Diceros bicornis minor: one gene and its partner. The protein of the gene in region 2 interacts with the protein of the main gene of each other region in a pairwise test. Links are inferred from orthologs where the notes say so. Each region holds a gene or a part of one and is shown on either strand. Other genes may lie near its edges.

The links.
Region 1: the proteins of CDK5RAP3 (region 2) and TSPYL4 interact in binary tests that used the Homo sapiens proteins (3 or more experiments, as listed by UniProt). The two-hybrid records come from large-scale screens. The link is inferred for Diceros bicornis minor from reciprocal best matches to the Homo sapiens genes CDK5RAP3 and TSPYL4.

Annotation. Positions count from the first base shown.
Region 1 is NC_080762.1:19,894,196-19,905,001, reverse strand, and holds TSPYL4 (testis-specific Y-encoded-like protein 4), read right to left. Parts: upstream 4,489-10,806; 5' UTR 4,434-4,488; coding exon 3,192-4,433; 3' UTR 1,162-3,191; downstream 1-1,161.
Region 2 is NC_080757.1:38,082,208-38,093,439, forward strand, and holds the start of CDK5RAP3 (CDK5 regulatory subunit-associated protein 3), read right to left. Parts: upstream 4,853-11,232; 5' UTR 4,850-4,852; coding exon 4,847-4,849; intron 2,938-4,846; exon of another isoform or gene 2,837-2,937; intron 2,352-2,836; exon of another isoform or gene 1,998-2,351; intron 1,653-1,997; exon of another isoform or gene 1,639-1,652; intron 1-1,638. UniProt on the Homo sapiens protein: Substrate adapter of E3 ligase complexes mediating ufmylation, the covalent attachment of the ubiquitin-like modifier UFM1 to substrate proteins, and which is involved in various processes, such as ribosome recycling and reticulophagy (also called ER-phagy).

The DNA of each region.
Region 1 (10,806 bases), on a different chromosome or scaffold from region 2:
TAGCACTTACAGAATGCACAATGATTAATTTTCCAACAGTCTATCTTAGGCTCACTAAGAATGAGACCAACAGGGGACATAGTTAACATAAATGGAGTAAACAAGGATGGTGCATGAATAGTTTTCCACTGAAAACAGGTAAGTGACAAAAATCAATATATGGTGCTTTAATTAAAAATTATGTTCATGAGGATGCAATTTTAGTTGGGCTTATTTACCACTATCCAAGCAAAAAATTTTGGAGGTTTGGTGGCTGTTCCTTTTTTTAAGCTTCAGGATGATGCTTACTGTCACAATTTGATAACTTTAATGATTTCTCCACCTTTTATTAGCCTAAACAACACAGACAGAACTTTATTTTTATTTTTTGGTCAAAACAAGAAATACAGCAGAGTGACAGATTTTACTTTTCCTTCGCACACAGGAGAAGACTAAAGCACTAATAATCCTTGTTTAGTCTGCCAGAGCAATTCTACAGAACAATTCTACAAGTACTTACACTGGTTGGGAACATAAAATGTCAAGTACAACATTACTGCTAGAGCAAGAAATATCAAGTAAGACAACAGTTATGTTTTTGAGATTTCTTTCATGAGACAGCAACAATTTGCAAAATTTCAAAGATCACATTCAAATTATATTTCTAAGAATAGAGCTATATATGAAGAGAGACCGGAACAAGCTGATATATTATTGAATGTTCGCAGAAGTCTTCACACTGCACAGGAAACAAGTTTGATATTTTTGCACACATTCTCAATTACAAGCAAAAAGCAGGCCTGTAAATGTCAATCTTGCCAGCAAGCAAAAAAGGAGAAAGGAATTAAAAGGATTTTACTTAAACACAGTGAAATAAGGACATATACCATTAATCTTCCACATATAATAGAAAGAAAACATCCAGACTTGCACTTTTGTGTACAAAAATCTACTGGTGAATTCGAGGAGTTAGGAAAAACTGGAGGAAAACCTAACTCCTCCAAGCATCCTCTTGAAATGTTAACCCACCTCTTCCGGGAAAAGCCTCAGGGGTCTCCCCTCCCACCCCAGACCCTGTAGGGTTCCAGTCTTTCCTGTCTGCCTTTCCAAGCCCACTCCACAGCAAGCTCATTTTTGTTTCTGGGCTTTCAGTTTCCCCAGCCTAAAGCACCGACCCCCCACACACACACTGCTCTGTGGAGCTGCCCTCGGGGAGCTCAGGCCTTCAAAAAGAAAGGAGAAAGGATAAGGGTGGATAGTCATAACGACCATACATCTCCATAAATAGGAGAGCCCTGACAGCACTGCTGTCCCACCTACTGGAACTTGTCCTGGAAATCCAGACTCCACACATCCCCTTACCTCGTAAGAGGAAGGCTTGGCATCTCCCACAATGCAGACTGCAGCCTGCTCCCTCCTTTGTTAGGACAGAAGCAGGGAAGGATATGGGGAAGCTGAAGACTGAGAGCCAAGGCCAGGCAGTAGGGTGGAAGCCCCTGGCACATCAGGGTGGTAACTGAATAGTACAAAGGACAGGGTTGACCCTCAAAATGCTGTCTTGGGTTATTTCTAAGTGGTCCAAGGCCCAAAAAAGAATTTCCATGTTTAGAAAAGTGGAGTAAAACTAAGTTTTGGTTGCTTTAGATCAAAACCTGCTCTGGGTCTGTCTTGAACCCATCACTGTGAGGCCCTTCTGTCTCTCCTCCCAGCTTCTCAAACTAAAGCTCAAGAAACACACAGAAGGTTTTGGTGAATGGATAGGGAAAAAGGGTGGGGTTGTCCAAGTTGGCCCCAAAAAATCACTTCCCATCACTAAGCAATTACCTACAGATCTCCCTTTGAAACGTTTAGACCTTGCTAAAGGAAGTGGGGTGGAGGTATGAGGGCAGTAAGAGATCTGGTGTCTATCATACAGTAGCTTTCTCCCTCTGGACACAATCAAGGACAGAGCAAATTAAACAAAAAGCCTGCTTTGCCAGTTTTGTTTTCTGTTTCTGAGCTGTAACTGCTTCAGAGGGAGGGAGGAGGGAAAGAGAACAGGGGAAGGACGGAGGGAGGCAGAGGGTGAAAGAGACAAAGACAGAGAGAGGCAGACAGAGACAGGTCCATAACAGGCTCCACAGATCAGAAATACCTCTTCCCCAGTGCCTCCACACTGGCGACTTTGTCATGTTCAGAATGGATGCAGGAGGGCTTAGGAGGGGGATGCCCAACAAAGGTGCCTAGGTGGTTTGTTGGCTAGGGCTCAGAAAGGCCAACTGCTAGAAAGGACCCACATACCAGCCTTGTTTTGGGCACTGTCACATATGACTGCCCAACCTGCCTAACAGCCATTGGGTTTGGGGCGGGGGGTGGGGGGCGGTGGTGTCCCTATGTGCTGCTTAGGAACTTAAGTCCACAGATAGTTCCTAAGGAGGCAGGCATGGTGCCTGTGCAAAGCTCATCCAGAAGGCTGAGAGCAGGTTTGGGTGGGCCATAGCACAGGCCTTCATACTCACCAGTACCTGGTCACAATGCAGAGTGACCAAAGGCATAATAAGACCAAAGTGAGAACACAGAACACCTCTCATCTGTTACCTCATTCATGCCTAATAGCCACCCACCAGCCACCTGCTTATTCTGCCAGATAATCAGCAGGGTGGATGGCACCAGCCCAGGAAGACAGCTGAGAACCAGTTAGTGGTAGCCTGGAATGTCCAGTTTGGATTGATGGCTGGCATCACCTACATCAGCTTCATCTTGCAGCAGTGAAACTCAAAGAGCTTGTCATAGAGTACACTGGTATCAGGAGGACAGCCAGCATAAAGCACGATGCCCAGCTAGTTATTTGCAAAGATATATCAAGCTTCTTTGTGGCCGATAAGCACTTAAATAACTGGGAGAAGAGCATGGTCACAGACAGGGCCCAAGGCATGCCAAGGAAGGCAGCGCGTATCTACAGCATCACGTGCTTGGCATGGAGGCAGTGGAAGGCCAGGCACTTGGAACATGTAACACGATGCAGAACAGCATGCAGGCCCAGAGGAAGAAGAGAATAAGCATACAAGCGACAATCTTGCCAGCAGTGATTGTTGAAGATTTAGAAGAACCAAAGAACCAAATAACGCAGTGTGAAGAGAAAGCAGATAGAAGACTGCATGCTGTTGGCTAAGCACAGGTCCAACAGGAGGTGGCAAGGAAACTCGTGTGCAAGATTCTCCCATGGGCAGGAGTCAGCCGGACTGGAACCTGAAAGACCTGGGGCTCTCCACTGGCTGCCTTGCTGGGTCTCGAATTCCTCTGCGGGGCCCTTCACCCATCAGGTAATACTGCAGGGGATTGGGCCACAGTTCTGCTTTGATAATCTCGGCAATCCTGTCGAATTCGAGGAGGCTGTGGTCTGAGAACCAATTGAAGAAGCTGGGGATAGTGTTCCCTTCCCGGTTCCTGTGGATATGGGCCTGGGGGTCTTGGCCCCGGTGCCAGCGAATTGGGGTGGCGAGAGAGACCACCCGGCCAGAGGATCTGCGCTCATATTCCTTGACCAGCCCCTCATTTCGGAAGTAGGGGTTGCTCTGAAAGATGAACTTGAATTTGCAGCCTGCTCTGGGTTGTTTAAGCTCCTCCACCTCCAAATTGATCATGTACCTCATCATGTCTTCATCTTGGCCACTGATCATTGGTGACAGCTGGGGGTGGTTCCGAAAGGCGGTGACCCAGAAACCGGGGATATTTTGGATAATGAAACTTCTGCGCTGCATATGGAGCCTTCGCATGCGGCCAAACTTGCGCTCCAGCTGAAGGAAGGCCCTGTCAGCCTGGGCATTTACATTTGACAGCTCCTGATCGATGGCCTCCAGCGAGTCCATGCAGTTATTGATCTTCGGGGCCCTGGCCCGTGTCTCCTCTTTCACTCCTCCTACCACCTTTTTTTCCTTCTGTATCACCTTCTTTTCCTCCACCACTTCCTCCGCTACTCCCTCCTTTTCCGCAGCCGCTGAAACGACGCACTTTTTTGTCATTTCCTTGGCCTTCGCCCCAGGCATCATCTGAGACCCCAATTCCCCTGCGCCACAGGCTTCTAGAGCTTTCTCCCCAGCAGGGCCGCGCGGCTCTCTACGCTGACAGCCATTTTCCTGGCTATTGTCGGTTGCCCCCGAGGCGGAGGCAGAGGCTGCTTCCAGACCCTCCGTGGGAGGCGGGGTCTCTTTCCGGCCCGCTTTGGTCGCTGCACGGCCGCGACTGCAGGCAACTCGAATGCGGAGCGCGGGGCCATAACCCACGGGGTCCCGGGGAGCGCCTCCCTCCGCGGTGGGCTCCAGGCCGCCCTCACCTGTGCCCGCCATCACCTGTGTCGCCTCGGTTTCCTCGCCCTCGCACTGGTTCAGGTCCCGATGTCCCGGGGCATGGTCCGGAGTAGCGAGGCCGCAGGTTTCAGCGACAGGGAGGTTGCCGCCCTCATCCAGGCTGCTCATTTTGGAGAAGTCAGACCTGCAGGAGGAAAGCTTCCCTTGTCCTCCGCAGAAGCCGCGCCCCGCCCCTCGCACCACCCCTCTTTTCCACTCTGGAGGATGCTGCCATGGTAACCGGTGACGTCAGGGCTGTAGCGTCTTAACGTCACGCGAGAACTCGCTGCGCCCTGTGATTACACGGGTCAGTGAAGGGTATTCCTTTGTCTTCGAGTTCCAGAATGCTGTGGATTTCGTAGCCTGGAGAAGGTTTGGCTTACTGATGTTTGCAGACCAAACCCAAGCGTGTGAGAACGGTGTTAATATGGATTTCTAAGTCTCTGAAAGAATTTCTAAGGCACCTAAGCTATTGTCTCTTAAAATATTTACTTAAAAAGTAGGAGAGGTTAGCTATTGTCTATTCAAGTCAGCTCATAGGGCTTCCATTTATAAGAGGATTCAACAATCCACATGCCGTTTTTCTTTAATGTACGGATTCATGGGTGTTACCAAAGAATAGAGATGAGCAGAGTTTGATTTTTAAGAAAGGTAAAAAGTTGCTGTGTGATGATTTAAAAAATTAGGCGCAGCTGAGAGGGAAACGTCTCTCATCCTAGCAAGGCATAATAAAGGGTTATTTCAATTTGCCGTGGAGATTTTAAAGTTTATATACTTTGGCCAACACCTACGAAGCAGTTGGACAATATTTCTTCGTCACTTTTAAATGATATAAATAGCAAAGTGTATTTTCCTTACTCAGAGGTGACCCACACACGCGGCAGTGCGCAAATTTCGCCTTTAAGCATTACTGGAAGATATGTAATCTCAGGAGATTTTAATTTCTAAAATTATGCACATTATATATTGCCTAACCTCAGGTTATAGTCTTAATCTAAAAAGAGTTCCTGCTTCATAATGCCTGTGGGCATGAAGCCAGCAAATATTTGCCAGAATTTGCTTCTGTGATAATTCACTGCAGGACAGAAGCAATAGTCAACTGTTTGCAGGCACTGGAGCTATTAATTGTCTTAATTAAAATATTTTAAGTAACATTTAAAATGTTAGTATTAAAATATTTACTTAAAAAGTAAGAAAAAGTTATTTTCTATTCAAGTCAGTCAACTCATACGATTCATTTGATAGTGATGTCACTATTATCTGTTGTTTGTTGTGGTGTGAAAATACTAATGTTAATCCTTACAAAAATGCAAGAACGAGGGAAAACTTAAATTTTGTGTGTTTTTGTCTAATGTCTTAAATTCATATTAGAAAATGATTGATTATAACTCTTTGTAATAGAAACTCCGGTACAGAGCCCCCCAGATTATGATCACTTTCAAATAAGGGCTCAGAAGAGGATCCAGTGAGAAGTAAGGATTTAGGGAAAAACGATTTACAGAAAAGCATCAGGTATACTGAGACTTCTAGTGAGGGAACATGTGCAGACCTGGTCCAACTAAGAATGAGGTGTTGATGGAAAGACTCTGGCAGACGTTACAGAGAAACAGTCTGTCATACAGCTTTATAGTTTAGTTCACAAAGGTTTTCCAGAGAATTCATAAAGAATTAAGATATTTTTGTACCTCTAGTCAGCATACTCAAGGACTGACTGTCCAGATTGACTGCTGCCAGCTAATCAGTTATTCCATAAAAAATTGTGCAAATAAGATTCACTCTTCCCAGAATTCATTTTTTCTCTCTTCTCTTTCCTCTTTCTTTTAATAAATCCTGTTTTTTGCCTTTGTGGGATGAAATCAATCTATTGATTTATCCTCCTTGTAAAAAAGTAAACAGTGTGCTATAATTAAGTGATTTTGTGACTTGGAGTTGTTCTTTGACACTATTCTGCCTTGTTTCTTTTTCTAAAGAATCTTGGCACTGTTGAAGGATGAATTCTCTTAGATTCTAACCTGAGCCAAGATGCAGAGAAGAAGCAAATGCTGAATGAAAGTTACTTTGCCATACAGGAAAAAAAGAGTTTGCTATTTGCAACAGAAAATTAGAAAATTACATAAAGCTGCTATCTGTGAACTTTTTTTCCCTTGTGTATACCAAAATTTTTAAAAGATTTATATTTCCACTGCTTGAAACATCCCTGTCTCTAGCTTTGATTATTTCTGTAAATGGAATCATTTACAGGATTACTAATAACAGCCTTCCCATTTTTTAAAAGTCCATTCAAGCCTACATCATGTTGATTGCACTAGGCATTTTAAATGCATTAATTTCATAAACAAGGACCCAGGAAGCACAGAGAAGTTAACTCACTCATGGTCGGACATACATTAATTGGCAGATTGCCTCCTCCCATCTTCTATGTATAACCTTCCTTAACCACCTTACCGTTCTGATAGTCCTCTGAATTTCTGTGGCTCTTATGATCCTTGCCATCCAATTTAGTACTTATCTATCTTCTCTCTTTAACTTGCTTGGTTGTTTCATGCAGATCAGTCTCCTCATCCCAGCTAGACAAGGATGGCTGTATAGTGGCTTCTTCTTCCTTAGCATCTACTGTAGTATAGCCAGCCCAGTGACTCTTTCATAGAAGATTTCAGTGAAACCTGATGATTTGATTTAAATGACAATTTTAAAAAGTTTTACTGAAACGAATAATATGAGTTTGAGTAGTATAAGTATTCATTTTGAGTTGGGTGGATAAATGTTTTATAGCTATGAATCGTATTTTATGTTTTTTACGTATTGGAATATAGAATTTTTTTGTATACAACAGAGCCTGTTCTGTTGGCAGTTGGCAATAAACCTCACTACACAGAAAAATATACATCAATAAGTTATGGTTCTATGGAAAAATATCCATAGAAAATGCCATGAAAATCTAAGAGGTAATTTTCATTTGCTACAGGACAAGGAGTTTAACAGAAGTTCAAACATAAATTAATATAGTCAAATAGGAGTGACTTTACTAAAGTGTACAGTAAATACTGAAAAATTTATGAAATATCACCTATTGTTACTCTTTTGAATAGCAAGTTTGTTTTTCAGAATGATATGGTTTCTGGTTATATATTCATTATAGCTTACATTTATTTAGTGTCTTCTATACACCAGACACCTACACACTTAAATGTGTTATCTCATTTAATCCTCACAACCCTATGAGGTGATAATATTATGACCTCCATTTTACTTTACCTCAGAAGGAACTGCAGCAAAGAGAAATTGAGTCGCTTATCCAAGGTCACACAGCAGTGAAGGAGCCTCAATCTGAACCCAGTTTTAATCTGACTCAAGAACCTGTGCACTCCTTTATTATATGATTCTACAACCCTACACAACATATAAAATGAGAAGGTGCTTTCTTAGAAATAAGGCCATATGACCACCCACCCCAATTTAATGTTAAATTTTCTCTTTCCTCTATTCCCCTCTTCATCCTATTCCCCTCTCCCCAGCCACAAAGATAGTGACAGTTGTTGGGGCAGTGCCCAGTTACTAAAGGGAGAAACAAGAATTCATGACCTTCGCTTTAATGCCTTAAGTCAACAGTTCTCAATCCATCAGATATAACATTCCTTCTTATAATAAATGTTTTATGACTTCTTTTTTCTTTCTTGAAATTCAAAATAGTATACCATCATGCACAATTTAAAAAAAAAATCAGTATAACTTCTTAGTGGTAATTTAAGGAGAAATAAAAATAAAATAATTCTTAAAATATCTATTCGAATTTGTAAATGCTTGGGCATGCCTACACTAAATGACATGATAAAGTAGCTAGACGGCTATGCCTATAGAATCACTAGTTCCTTAGATATTTTGGAGATTAACCTCTTTTCAGATATATGGTTTGCACATATTTTCTCCCATTCCATAGGTTGCCTTTTCACTGTGTTGTTGATAAATAAAATTTCTGCATATTAAAAGCTTTGTGTTGGAGTTTAATTGACATTGTTTTCATTTTTAGTGTTAGGTAATGATGTATCTTGCAATCAGTGATTTGGAGTAGATGAAATAAGAAGTTTCTTTCAAAAATGCAGTGTATAAAAAAAGTGCAAAAAACCTTTGTTTTCATATGTAAAATAGTGCTGGGTTCTAGGCTTTAATACTAATAGATTTTTCATCTGCATGAATGTTTAGCGCTGGATAATCGTTTTATGTGGGGCATTGTCCCTCACATTGCCAGATGTCTAGCATTCCTAATGCCCCTAAGGAATGCCAAGAGCACCCACATTCATTGTAATAACCAAAATAACTCTGGCAAATTTCCCAAACACTCTCTAGAGGGAGGTACACATACACGTTGAGAATCAGTTTTTCAAATGCTTGTGAATATGGTATTCCCATTTCTGGTCACTAGAGGGAGGAAGTGGTCTTGAAGAAGATAATCTGACTCTAGTTTGCTTTTGGTGGTCAAGTTTAAAGTACTCTGAAGAGAATGTTTATGCAATTTTATAGACCATACATTCATTAGAAGAACTATGGCATGAGTTCTGCTGTAGTTCTGCCATTTCAACAAATGTTTGATGCTCTCTATATTATTAAAATTGAATCACAATCTTTTATATTTAGGCTATCATTGTTACACAATTAAAATTTTCTCAGACAAGCTTGTTTGCTTATGATGGCTCCCTGTGATAATGCTTAGCCAAGAAAATGTCATATAGCCTTACTTTCCCCAATCATAAAGGAAATCAGAAACAAGTTCCCTGACCTGAATGACCTCATATCTTTGTATGCTGGGTGTGATGGTTAATGTTATATGTCAGTTTGAGCCAAAGGGTGCCCAGATTAAATATTATTTCTAGGTATGCCTGTGAGGGTGTTTTTGGAATTAGCTTTTGAATTGGTGGACTCAGGAAAGTAGATTGCCCTCCTCAATGTGAATGGGCATCATCCAATCCATGAGGGCTTGAATAGAACAAAAAGGTGGAGGAAGGAGGAATTTGCCCCTTTTGCATCCTGCCTGAGTACTTGTGCTGGGACATGGGTCTTCTCCTGCCCTTGGACTGGTATTTGCACTATCAGCTCCCCTTCTTCTCAGGCCTTGGGACTCAGACTGGAATTGTACCATCACCAACTTTCCTGGGTCTCCAACTTAAAGACAGCAGATCATGGGACTTCTCAGCCTCCATAATCACCCAAGCTGATTCCTCATAATAAATCTCTTCCTATTGGCTCTATTTCTCTGGAGACCCCTGACTAACACACTGGGTAAAGACACATACATTGGAATCAGACAAATCTGGCTTCAAGTCTCAATTGTGCTACTTATTAGCTGTTCAATTTGAGCAGGTCACTTGACTTCTCTCAGCCACAATTTCCTCATATATAAAATGAATATAAGAAAATTTAATTTATAGGACTGTTGAGAAGATGAAATAAGATATGTAAAAAGTGTTTGTCCCAATAGACTTTCAACAAATGAAAGCTGACTTGGTAGTTTTTATTATTTTTATGCTAAGATTCACCTACATTAAATAGATAGTGCAGACAGTATGAAATCAATGTCAAATTCTATTATGAAACTGTAAGTGTATAGAAGTTCAAAAATGAAAGACATCCCTAAAGACTGAAGCAGTATCAGCCACAGCAACTGAAAGCTTGATTCATACACATAAGCCTGTCAATGTCTTCTGAGATAGTGACTTCATTTCTAAGTTTTCATTTCTTCAAGCTTCAAAGTCTGCTTCCAGAGTTCAGGAGAGTTTAGTATTGGAACATGAGTGCGTTCTCCACTTGGTTTCTAGCCAGTATACATATCCAGTTTGAATCCGTTTGCATTTTCTTGTTCACATTAGTAGTGCCCATTTTAAATAGCTGGGGAGCTTTGCAAAAATCCTGAGCTTAGGCTCTACCCCAAACCAATTAAATTAGACCCTACGGTGCAGACAGATTTGGAAATATGGATAACCTTTCCTTGGACTCAAGTGAGGGAATACCCACCCCCTTCCCAGTTTTGTTAAATTTACTCAGAAATCTACTGCCTTTATAACATCCAGCTATTGCAAAGGGCCTGGCATGGGGTAGGCTCCCAGCACATCTGCTCTACATTTTGACCCCTGTAGTCTTGCAGAATGGAATTAGCCTGATTCCACAAGAGCTCTTTAAGTACTTGAAGATCATCATTATATCCTTCCCCTCAACCCCTCACCCCTTACCAGCCTGGCTATATATCAATTCCTTCAATGTTCCTCATCCGTTCTCCATGCTAATTAAACAAGATTCATTATGCCAGTGTTCTTCCTAAAGTCTGGTGCCCAGAGCTGAACAAAATAACATCCAAATAACAGAATAGAATGGTATTCTTACTGCCTTTATTATAAATAGTATACTTCTTTAAATGGACCCTGGGAGAATATTAGCTTTTGGGGCAGCAGTATTACCCTTTCACTTCTAATAAGATTATAATTTGCCAAACCTTAAGTTTTAAAGTATTAAT
Region 2 (11,232 bases):
GGGGGCAGGGCTACTCAAAGCTCTGAGAATCTCAGGGAGAGTCAGAGTTCCCTAAGGCAATTCTCTAAGTTCTCCCATCACTAACAACTAGAAGCCAGTGTAGACACAGGCCAGTCAGGTGGCATCCACACTGCCTTCCCACTCTCCACCTCTCTGCATGGAGGAGTGTCCTGGCGAGGGTCACAAGACTTGCCTCTCTTCTGAAACCTGAAACCTGGGGGAGTGTCGGTCAGAAGAACTCCTTTTCTACCCTTTTACAGATGAGGAAATGAAGCCTGTTCCTAAAACCTCCACTCACTCACCACGTGTTCGTTAACACTCTGCTGTGGGTGTTGGGAGACGGGGATACAGAGGTGGATAAAGAGCAGCTCTCTGCCTTTAGGGAACCCTGTCTAGTAGAGGAAGGACAGATGAGTCAACCATAATTGCAGTTCAGTGTGATGGGCACTCAGTGTACAACAGAGGTGATGTTGCAGAAAAGGAGGCTAGACTCTGCTTGGGTAGGGCAGGAAGGCTTTGAAGGAGGTGCCACTTGGGATTGGTCTTGGAGGGTGGATTGGGATTCATGGAGGGGTGGGAGGGAGAAGAGCATTCCAGGTTGAGGCTCGTGCAGAGATGCAGCAGTCCGAAAGAACAGGACAAATTCAGAGAAATGTGAGCATTTATCTGGCTGACACAGAGGCTGCCTGGGAAGAGGGCAGGAGATTGGCTGGGAAAGTTGGGATCAGATCAGAAAGGTCTCACTTGCCAAACTGAAGAGTTCAGACTTGACACCATAAGTGAAAGCAAGCGATGGTATCAACCTCTCCAAAGAGCATAGGTGAGGCATCTTGCCGTGCTCAGAGGGAGCGAGGGGAAGAGAGGCACTGGAGATGGCTCACTTAGTTTCTTAATGTTGTCATTAAACTTTACAGAGTTCTCCGTTAGTCAGAACTCTTTCAGTTACAGAGGTAGAAACCCGCTCAAACTGACTTATAATTTTATTTATTTTTTTCCCCCAAAGCCCCAGTAGACAGTTGTATGTCATAGTTGCACATCCTTCTGGTTGCTGTATGTGGGACACGGCCTCAGCATGGCTGGAGAAGTGGTGCGTAGGTGCGTGCCCGGGATCCGAACCCGGGCCGCCAACAGCGGAGTGCACGCACTTAACCACTAAGCCACGGGGCCGGCCCCCACTCAAACCAACTTAAACAGAAAGAGAATTTGTTGGTTCATGCACCTGGGGAGGGACTGTGAGAGCCTAAAGGAGTGAAGGAAGAACAATAGGAGCCAAGAGAACTGGAACTCGGGACTCAAGGCCACCAGAATTCCCTCTCTGCCCATGTTTTATCTCCGCTTGTCTCTGTTCTGCAGAGAGACTTCCTTCACGTGGAGGGGAGATAGCCACCCACAGCTCTGTGCCTCATCTCAGCAAGCACTCCCAACATATCCTCTCAACTAGCAATCCAAACATACCATCTCAACTAGCAATCCCAACATATCCTCTCAACTAGCAATCCCAGCGTGGAGAGGCCCTCCCTCCCATGTCTATATGTTAATCCCAAGGAAGAGTCTGATTGGTCCTTCTTGGTCACTGATACTCGTTGGTCTAATCACTGTGATTAATGACATGGTAGACTGTGATTAATCCAGCCTGGATCACATGTCCATATCTGTAGAGGAGGCAGAAGCAGAGAGAGCACCCCAATTCCCAGCTCCTCAGGACCACGTGGAGTGAAGGAGGAAGTCCCCCAAAGAAACGGGGTTGCAGTTATCAGGAGGTGTATGGGAAATGAGCTGGACAGCAAAAAATGGAAGCTGCCCCTTTTGTGTGTGTGTGTGTGTGTGTGTGTGTGTGTGTGTGTGTGTTAAAAAACGATATTGTTTTATTAACAGCAGCAGGAGTGGCTGGCATGGGGTGGCGGGTGTGCTGGGCTCAGGGTATGTGTGGGCTGTGAGGAGTAGATGATGGTTGGGAGGCTGGAAGGAAAAGAGGTGGGCGGGTATGGAGGCCAGGCCCAAGGGCTCCTGAGATTTACTCTGGGAATAAGTAGACTTGATAAAGGATTCATGGCAAGCTGTGGCCAAGCCCCCAATATGATTAAGAAATTCTTGGAGATCTAGCCGCCCATCACAGTTGAGGTCCAGTTTCTTCATCCCGCAGTCAAGGACACCAGGGTCCTTCTGGTTCTTTGTGAAGGCAGCCAGTTCTCTGTTCACGAAGGCTGGGAACTCGGTCTTGGAGAGTTTGCTGCTGTTCCTGTCCTTTGCAGCATATCTCTGGAAAACAGTAATCAGAGACTTGCACCGCAGTCTCTGTAGGGCTGGAGATTTTTGCCGCGCTGGAGTAGAGCAAGGCACGGAGGCTGTGACTGGGGAACGGCGCAGCAAGCTCTGAAGCTGCCACTTCTATGTGCCAAATGCTCTACCAGATGCTGGGGATTCAGAGATAAGACCCCATCTCTACCATCAAATAGCTCACAGTCCAGACGAGGGTGCAGAAGATCAGAAAGTGTCGCAGTGGTGATGGGATACGGGGACTCTCCAGCTAGCTTGGGAACCCAAGAGAGGGCCACCCAACCCAGACTGAGGCAGAACCAAACCAGGAAACACTTTGCCAAAAACGTTACCCCTCAACAGAGTTATGAAAGATGAATGAGAATTAATCAAGGGAAGAAAGGAAGAGGGAAGTTCAGGGAGAGGAAGCAACATATAGAGGTGTAGACCGGTCAGAAATTGTGGGTTTCTGCCTTGGGCAAAGGGGCGAATTGCTGTGCAGTGAGGTGAGAGGAACTGGAGAGCTCAGACTGGCACGTGAGGAGCTCGGGCAGCCTGTGGGTCAGTCAGGTGGTGATACCAGTAGATGACTGGATTGTTTTGGATCTCGAGGTTGAGAAAGAGATGTAAGCTGTGGAGATAAATTTGGAATTCAACCCCGTGGGCGGCAGCCAAAGCCATGGGAGGATGCTGTCACTCAGGGAGAGTGAGAGGAAGGCCGAAGGTACACAGCTGGAGAGCACCCACATTGGTTGAGTGGGTGAACGCAGAGGGCACAGGAAGGAAGGAGTCAGAAAAGGACAATCTCAAGTCACAGCACTGTGAGCAAATGATTTGTATTCTCGGGCCCCAAGGTTTCTGCACATGTAATTCTCTCTCATGTGAAATCTTCCAGGGGAAAGAACAGATTACGTACAAAGAAATGAAAATCAGATTGTCATCAGATGTCTCACCGACAATCCCGACAAGAAGAAGGTGAGCAAGCCTGCAAAGGGCAGAGGGAGTGGCAAGACTGCTAGTGTCCCCAGCGTCTGTCCCCCATTCTTCCTTAGTAATAGAACCTTGGGTCTTTGGCTGGGCACGTAGCCATCCAAAAGCAAGGCTACATTTCCAGCCTCCCTTAAAGCTAAGTGTGGCCATGTGACTGTCCCTTCCTTCTTTGCACCTTCCTCCATCCGTCCTGCTGCCTGGAAGCCAATATGAGGCCACCATCTTGGGCCGTGAAGACAAGGACCACATCCTAAGTGTGGCAGAGTAGAAAACTGGAAGGAGCCCAGTCCCCTGCAATCTTCTACATGAGAAAGAAAATAAACTTCAACTTCGAGCCACTGCTGTTTTGGGTCCCTTATTTACACTGTACTTAATCCTAACTGATGTTGATGGGAGATTATACCCAGCCAAAATAGCAATCAGGTACGAGAATAAAATAAAGTCCTTTTTGTACAGGCAACAATCTGAAGAGAAGTCAGGAAATAGATGTTTAAATATGTTATTTAAAGTCCTAAAATTAAATAATAGAAAGGGTAAGTAAATATGTGACTGGCAGGGATTAGGGAAAGAAGGGACGCAGTGAAAGCAAGCTAAACTCGTTATCTTTCATTGCAGCGAGTCAGGAGATATTGTTGAAACGATGAATTAGAGATATTAGCATATTTTCTGGCATTATGGAAGTATTGTCAGGAAGGCTAAAAAGAGAAATGGTTGAAAATGATTACTTCTGGGGGATGGGCGTCAGATTGATGGAGGAAGACTTTAATTTTTCAATTTGACTGTCTTGCACAGTTTAGATGTATGTTTGTACTTGTAGGTACATACATAGGACAACCTCTGAAGGATGCGTACCTAACTCTTAATAGTGTAACCCTCCAGGGGGGAGGAGTGGATCCAATAGGGGAGGGTCTAGGAACAGACTAAAGTTTCATTTTATAACTTTTTATATTATTTGGTGTTATAAAAATGAGTACTTATTATTTTTGTAAAAAAAATTTTAAGTATATTTTTTAAAAGAAAGTGGACAAGGGAAAATACCAGACAGTGGTCCACAGTCTGGAAAATACCACAGGCAGAAGGCAGGACCTACAAGGACTCACTTCCTTGGCAGTGAAATCAGGTGTGTCTTAGCAAGTCTGATTGCCCCTGATTTTGGCCACTGCCTGGATTTATCTCGTCCATGGCCAGACCCAAGAGGAATTTAAAGGGAAGTCCCCTCTTGGGAGGTGTCCTGCTCAAGTGCCCCACTTCCCACTGGCATAGTTAGAGTTGGAATTATCTCAGAGTTGAGCAATCGGAGGCCCGTGTTTGCCAGGCTTGGGATTTCTCTGGTGACACAACTGCCTTAAATCCTAGTTGGCTGTCTGCCATTTCCATTCCTAGGGATGCCATGTGCAAGTAACCAATGCTGGAAATCTTGCCCAGTCATGAAACCTGATTCTGAACCTGGCTTTTGTGGTTTGTCTCTTAGCAACAGGCTTGGGGGCTCTGACTGTCCATCTAGGCCTTAGGTTAAGATTCTTCCTTGGTATATGGATATCTGGGGTTCTTTGCCCACCATCCTTTCTGGGACCGAGACCTTGAATTTCCTTTGGGAAACCATCTTTCCCCCTCCCATTCTCAGCCAAGAGATTTAATCTGGGATTGTTTTCTATCCCCAAATCTAGGGGTGTGCCAGTCAGTATGTTCCTGTCTCCCTAGCCAAAATGATTGTTCAGGGATGGGCTCCAGATCTATGGCAGCCCAATCAGAGTGAATCATGGGACTCACTGAAAATGTTGGGGCATGGTCTTGTTTCTCCTGATGATATTGAACAAGGAAGCTTGTAGCCCCAGGAGCTGCCGTCAGTCATGAGGGCTTTGGGACTATGAGGGGAATTATCCAACCCTGAGGAAGAATAGAGAGATGGAAAACAAACAAACAAACAGATTATGATTATAATGGATTGTTTCCTCTGACTCCTCCTAACTTTAGCATAGAAAATTAAATTCAGCTTTTACAATTACATGTAGCACACAATTGTCTCTCAGTGGTCTTAGGTCATTGGTTACAAACAGACTAGATCTTTCTTAACAAAGCTAATTATCCAATCTCTTTTTATGGTCCAGTTTAAAAGAAAGATTTTTGTTATCTTGTAGCACCATACTGAAGATCACAAGTAGTATATCACATTCAATATCTAACATTTTTCTATCAAATCCCCAATAATTACAACGCCATTAGGCACACAGTCTGAGCTCTAAAGTACAACAGGAGATGGTTAATCCAGCTGATCCATTTCCATGAGGATAATTATCTTCCCAAATTGCAAAGAATGGTTTCTCACTGCTTTCCACACCACCTGGCCAGGTTCACCTTTTAAATTCTGTTTCTTACAACATCCCACTCCTGATACCAGTTCTGTACAGTCAAGATTCTTTTAGTTGTAAATAAATCCACCTCACTCAAAGTAATTTAAAGAAGAGGGGGCTTATTGGCTCATGGGATAGGAAAGGCAGGGGTATATTGTAAACAAGGAACAAATATTGCGTGCTCTCTCTCTTTCTCTCTCTCTCTCTCTCAATTGTTTTGGTTTCATACTCTGTTTCAGCTTCATTATCTTCCAAATTAGAATAGCTTCCCTATGCAATTAGAGAAAATTGGCTACCAGTAGTACCTAGGATTGTATCTGACAACTCCATGACCAGAGAAGAAACAAACCTCTTCCCTGTCAAATCACCCATAAAAATCCTAGGAAGGGTCTTGACTGGTTTGTCTTGGGTCATGTGCCCACCTTTCATCTAGGAGCATGAGGTGCTGTGATTGACTTGTACTGGATTATATATGCACTCCTGTAATTGTTACCAGAAGAAATGTGGGGGAAGCAGATGCTTAGTACAGAAAAAAAAAAAAAAATAGCCACTGAAGGAATTAATGAAAAGATTAAGTACAGTGGCCAGATACAAGATAAATATATAGAAACCAATGACTCTTACCAATAGAAAGTGCTAGTTAATAATATCACATTTACAGTTTTAAAAACCCTGTAACTGTCAGAATAAATTTAACGAGAAGTGTTCAAGAAAACTATGAATCTTCAATGAAGGACATGACATACAGCATGAAAAAAAAGTAAAGAGATCTTGGTCTTAGATGGAATGACTTAATATTCTAATACAGTAGATACCTCCCTCTAATTAATTTATAAATTTAATATAATCCCAATCAAAAACCCAATGGGATTTTTTAAAGGGAATTTGAAGTGCTGAGTCTAAAGTTAATCTGGAAGGTAAGTCATGAGTATAACCAATACAATTAAAAAAAAAGAAATTAATAAGGGAGGGGTTGCTACCAAATGTCAAAACATAATATAAAACTGCAATAATTAAAAGTATATTATTGGGGCTGGGCCCATGGCCTAGTGGTTAAGTTTGGTGTGCTCTGCTTTGGCAGCCTGGGTTCAGTTCCCAGGTGCAGACCTACACCACTCATCAGCAGCCATGCTGTGGTGGTGACCCACATACAAAATAGAGGAAGATTGGCTCAGGGAGAATCTTCCTCAGCAAAAAAAAATGTGTATATATATATATATATATTATTGGGGATGGTTCGGTTTCCAGATGGAGTAGATGGTTTCCAGATGGTCTAGATGGAGTAGACATAATTTTCTCTATTCATCTTGCTAAATACAACTAACCCTGGATCTTATACATAAAACAACATAAGAAGATTCTGAAAGGTGGAGAAAAGAATAGGGACCTTGTGACCTGAAAAATGACACATTGGTCAGTTCTCTGGGTTTTCTTTTTGCCCCGTATATCCCAGACTGGGTTCTGGAGAAGCCAGCAACCTGGAAACACCAACAGACACAAACAAACAAACAAACAAACAAACAAAAACCCTATGGAAGCCTGCTCTCTCTAGCTAAAGGATAAGGAAATGGGCAGCTTAGCAATATAGAAAACTTTTCAGAGAATAGTCCCTTTACTACAGCCAAACACTACCAAAAATATCTGTGGCCTAATCCCCACACATGCCAGCAAAAACCAAGTGAGGAATCTAGATCCATCTTTGCCAGGCTGTAAGGAGGTAACTGACTTTCCCTCCTCTCAAGCCACTGGAGTAATGTCAAGGAAAGGCTGAATAAGGAATCAGGATGTTCATGCCCACTGAGAGTAGTCCTCCAGAACCACCACCGTGTCAGCGGAGATGATGTGGAGAACCTGGACTTCCACCTTCACCTGACAGTAAGGAGGGGTGCCAACCCTTTCCTTGTCTGAGCAGTGTCAGAGGAAGCCAGCTAAAAACAGAAGGTTTAAATAAGACCCAGAGTATCATAACACAATACCCAAAACGTACAGATTTCAGTAGACAGTCACTTGTCGTGTCAAGAACCAGGAAGTTCTCTAACTGAATGAAAAAAGAAAATCAGTAGGTGCCAACACAGATGACAGGCACATTAACACCATCTGACAAAGATCTTAAGGCAGTCATGATAAAAATGCTTCAATAAACATGCTCAAAACAAATGAAAAAATAGGAAGCCTCGTCAAAGACATAGAAAATTTCAGCAAAGAAACAGAAGACATAAAGAAGAACCAGATGGACATTTTAGAACTGAGAAATATAATAACAGAAATAAAAAACCTTAATGGATGCATTCAACAGCAAAATGGAAGAGATAGAGGAAAAAATCAGTGAGCTGGAAGATAGAAAAATAGAAATTACCCAAATGAACAACAGAGAGAAAATAGACTGAAAACAAAAATGAATAGAGCCTCAGGGACCTGTAGGACTATAACAAAAGATCTAACACTCCTATCATCTAAGTCCCAGAAGGAGAGAAGAAAGAGGACAGAGTCGAAAAAGTACTCAAAGAATTAATGGCTGAAAGTGTCCCAAATTTGACAAAAGACATAAACCTATAGATTCAAGAAGCTGAGTGAACTATAATTAGGAAAAATCAAAGAAATCCACACAAAGACGTATCACAGTCAAACTTCTGAAAACTAGACAAAGAAAAAAATCTTAAAAGTAATGAGAAAGAAATAACATCTTTCCTATAGGGGAAAAACGATTCAAATGGCAGTGGATTTCTCATCGGGAACCATGCAGGCCAGAAGGAAATGGCATATTTTCCAAGTGCTGAAAGAAAAGAACTGTCATCCCAGAATCCTATGTTCAGTAAAAACATCCTTCAAGAATGAAGGGTAAATCAAGATATTTTCAGATGAAGGAAAATAGAGAATTTGTTACCAGCAGACTTACCCTTAAAAAAATGACTAAAGGAAGTTTTCTAAACAGAAAGAAAACTACAAAAGAAGGAATCTTGGAACATCAGGAAGGGAGGAAGTACATGATAATCATAATATGAGTAAATTCAATAAGCTTTCCTTCTCCTCTTGAGTTTTCTATATTATGTTTGATGGTTGAAACAAAAATTATAATACTGTCTGATGTGGTTCTAAATGTATATAGAGAAAATATTTAAGATGATACTAAAATTGGGGAGGGTAAAGGGACATAAAGGGAGGTAAGTTTTCTACATTTCAGTCTAACTGGCAAAATGACAACATTAGTAGACTATGATAAGATATACATAATATATAATGTAATAACTAGAATAACTGCTAAAATAAACCATAGAGAGAGATACTCAAAAACACTATGGATAAATCAAAATGGAATTCTAACAAATGTTTAAGTAGCCTACAAGAAGGCAGGAAAAAGAAAGCAGAGAAATGAGAAACAGAGAGAACAATCTTAAAACAAAAAATAAAATGGTAGACTTAATCCATAATGTATCAGTAATTACATTAAATGTAAATGGTATAAATATACCAATTAAAAGACAGAGATTGGCAGAGTGGATAAAAAAATATGATCCAACTATATGCTGTCTACAAGAAACATACCTCAAATGTAATACTATAGGCAGATTGAAAGTGAAAGGATGGAAAAAGATATATCATGCAAATATCAAAAGAAAGCAGCAGTGGCTATATTAATATCATATAAAGTGGACTTCAAAACAAAAAAAAATTACCAAAAACAGAAATAATGAAAGGGTCAATCTACCAAGAAAACATAACAACCCTGAATGTGGATGTACCAAAAAACAGAGTATAAAATATGTGAATCAAAAACTGATATAACTGAAAAAAGATATAGACAAATCCACAATTATATTGGAGACTTCAACATCCCTCTCTCAACAATTGATAGAATGACTACACAGAAAATCAGCAAGTATACAGGAGAACTTAACAAAACAATCAACAACAGGTTCTAATTGACATTTATAGAACACTCCACTTGACAACAGCAGAATGCACATTCTTTTCAAGTGCCCACAAAACATGTACCAAGATAGACCACATCCTGAGTCATAAAACAAACTCAACAGTTTTAAAAGAATTTAAATCATATAGAATGTGTTCTCCGATCACAGTGGACTCAAACTACAAATCAATAACAGAAAGATAACAGGAAAATCTCCAAACACTTGGAAACTAAACAACACATGTCTAAATAATCCATATATCAAAGAGGAAGTCTCAAAGAAATATTAAAAATACATTGAACTAAATGAAAACAAAAAGACAACATATCAAAATTTATAGGATGAAGCAGTGTTGAGAGAGAAATTTATAGAACACAGGAAATGGTCTAAATGATCTAAATACACCAATTAAAAGACAGAGATTGGCAAAGAGAGTGAAAAAAAATGATCCATCTATATGTTGTCTACAAGAGAGTCACTTTAGATATAAGGACGTGAAGAGGGTGAGGTGAAAGGATAGAAAAGATATTCCATGCAAATAGTAACCAAAACAGAGCTGGGTGGCTATATTATTGTCAGACGAAGTAGACTTTAAATTTTTTTAGAAGGCTACAAAAGACAAAGAAGGATGTTATACATTGATAAAAGTTTCAGTAACAATTATAAACATATACACACCTAATAACACAGATCCCAAAATATATGAAGCAAAAATTGACAGAGAATGGATTAGTGGGTAACCCCCTGGGGTTAAGGAGGGGGTGGGGTCTGGAAGGAAGTGAGTGTGGCTCTAAAAGGGCATCATGAAGGATCTTGTGGTGGTGAAAATGTTCTGTCTCTTGAGTGTATCAATGTTGATATCCAAGTTGTGATATTGTATTGTTGCTGGCACCAGTCGGATTGGTGCGGTGGGGTCCCAGGTTCTTGGTCCACAGACCCAAAAGAATTTGAGAGTGGACACATAGCAGTTTTAACAGAGGAAGATTTATTAGCAAAGTGAAAGCACACTCCCAAGGGGAGGGGCGGACAGGCTCGAGGGGGAGCAACTGCACTAAAGTTGTGGTGGTCAGTGGTTTTGGAATGTTGGGTCCAGGAGTGGGTGAGGGTCTTGGAACGTGTGCCAATCGGGGCATTGTCTCCACTCTCGAGTCGGGAGGGGGAGATTTTTTCCTTATATAGGCATCTCTGGAACTGTCATGGTGGTGATCTCCCACAAGGGGGGTCAAAATCGCAATGCAAATGAGGGTATAATGAGGCTTGGGGCTACTCTCAGTCAGGGTCCAGGGGAGTGCTGTATGTCAGTCAGGGTCCAGGGGAGTGCCTGCCCAATAATGAGGACACGGCACCTGGTGGAGTGGCCTTGCTCCCAGCTCATATCTAGCTTCCTGCCTATATCAGTATCATGGTTTTGCAAGTGTTAACCGCTGGAAGAAGTGGGTAAAAGGTACATGGAATCTCTCTGTATTATTTCTCACGACTGCATGTGAATCTACAATTATCTCAAAGTAAAGTGTTTCATTTTAAAAGTGTATTATTGGCATAGTAATAAACAAATAGATGAATGAAGGGAAGAAAATATCTAGAAACATATCCATGTGTATCTTGGAATTTGGTATATGATACTGATGGCATTGTAAATAAGTGGGGAACTAATGGACTAGTCAACAAATGGTGTTATGATAATGACTATTCATTATCTCTTATGCACATATTTCCCTTGATGA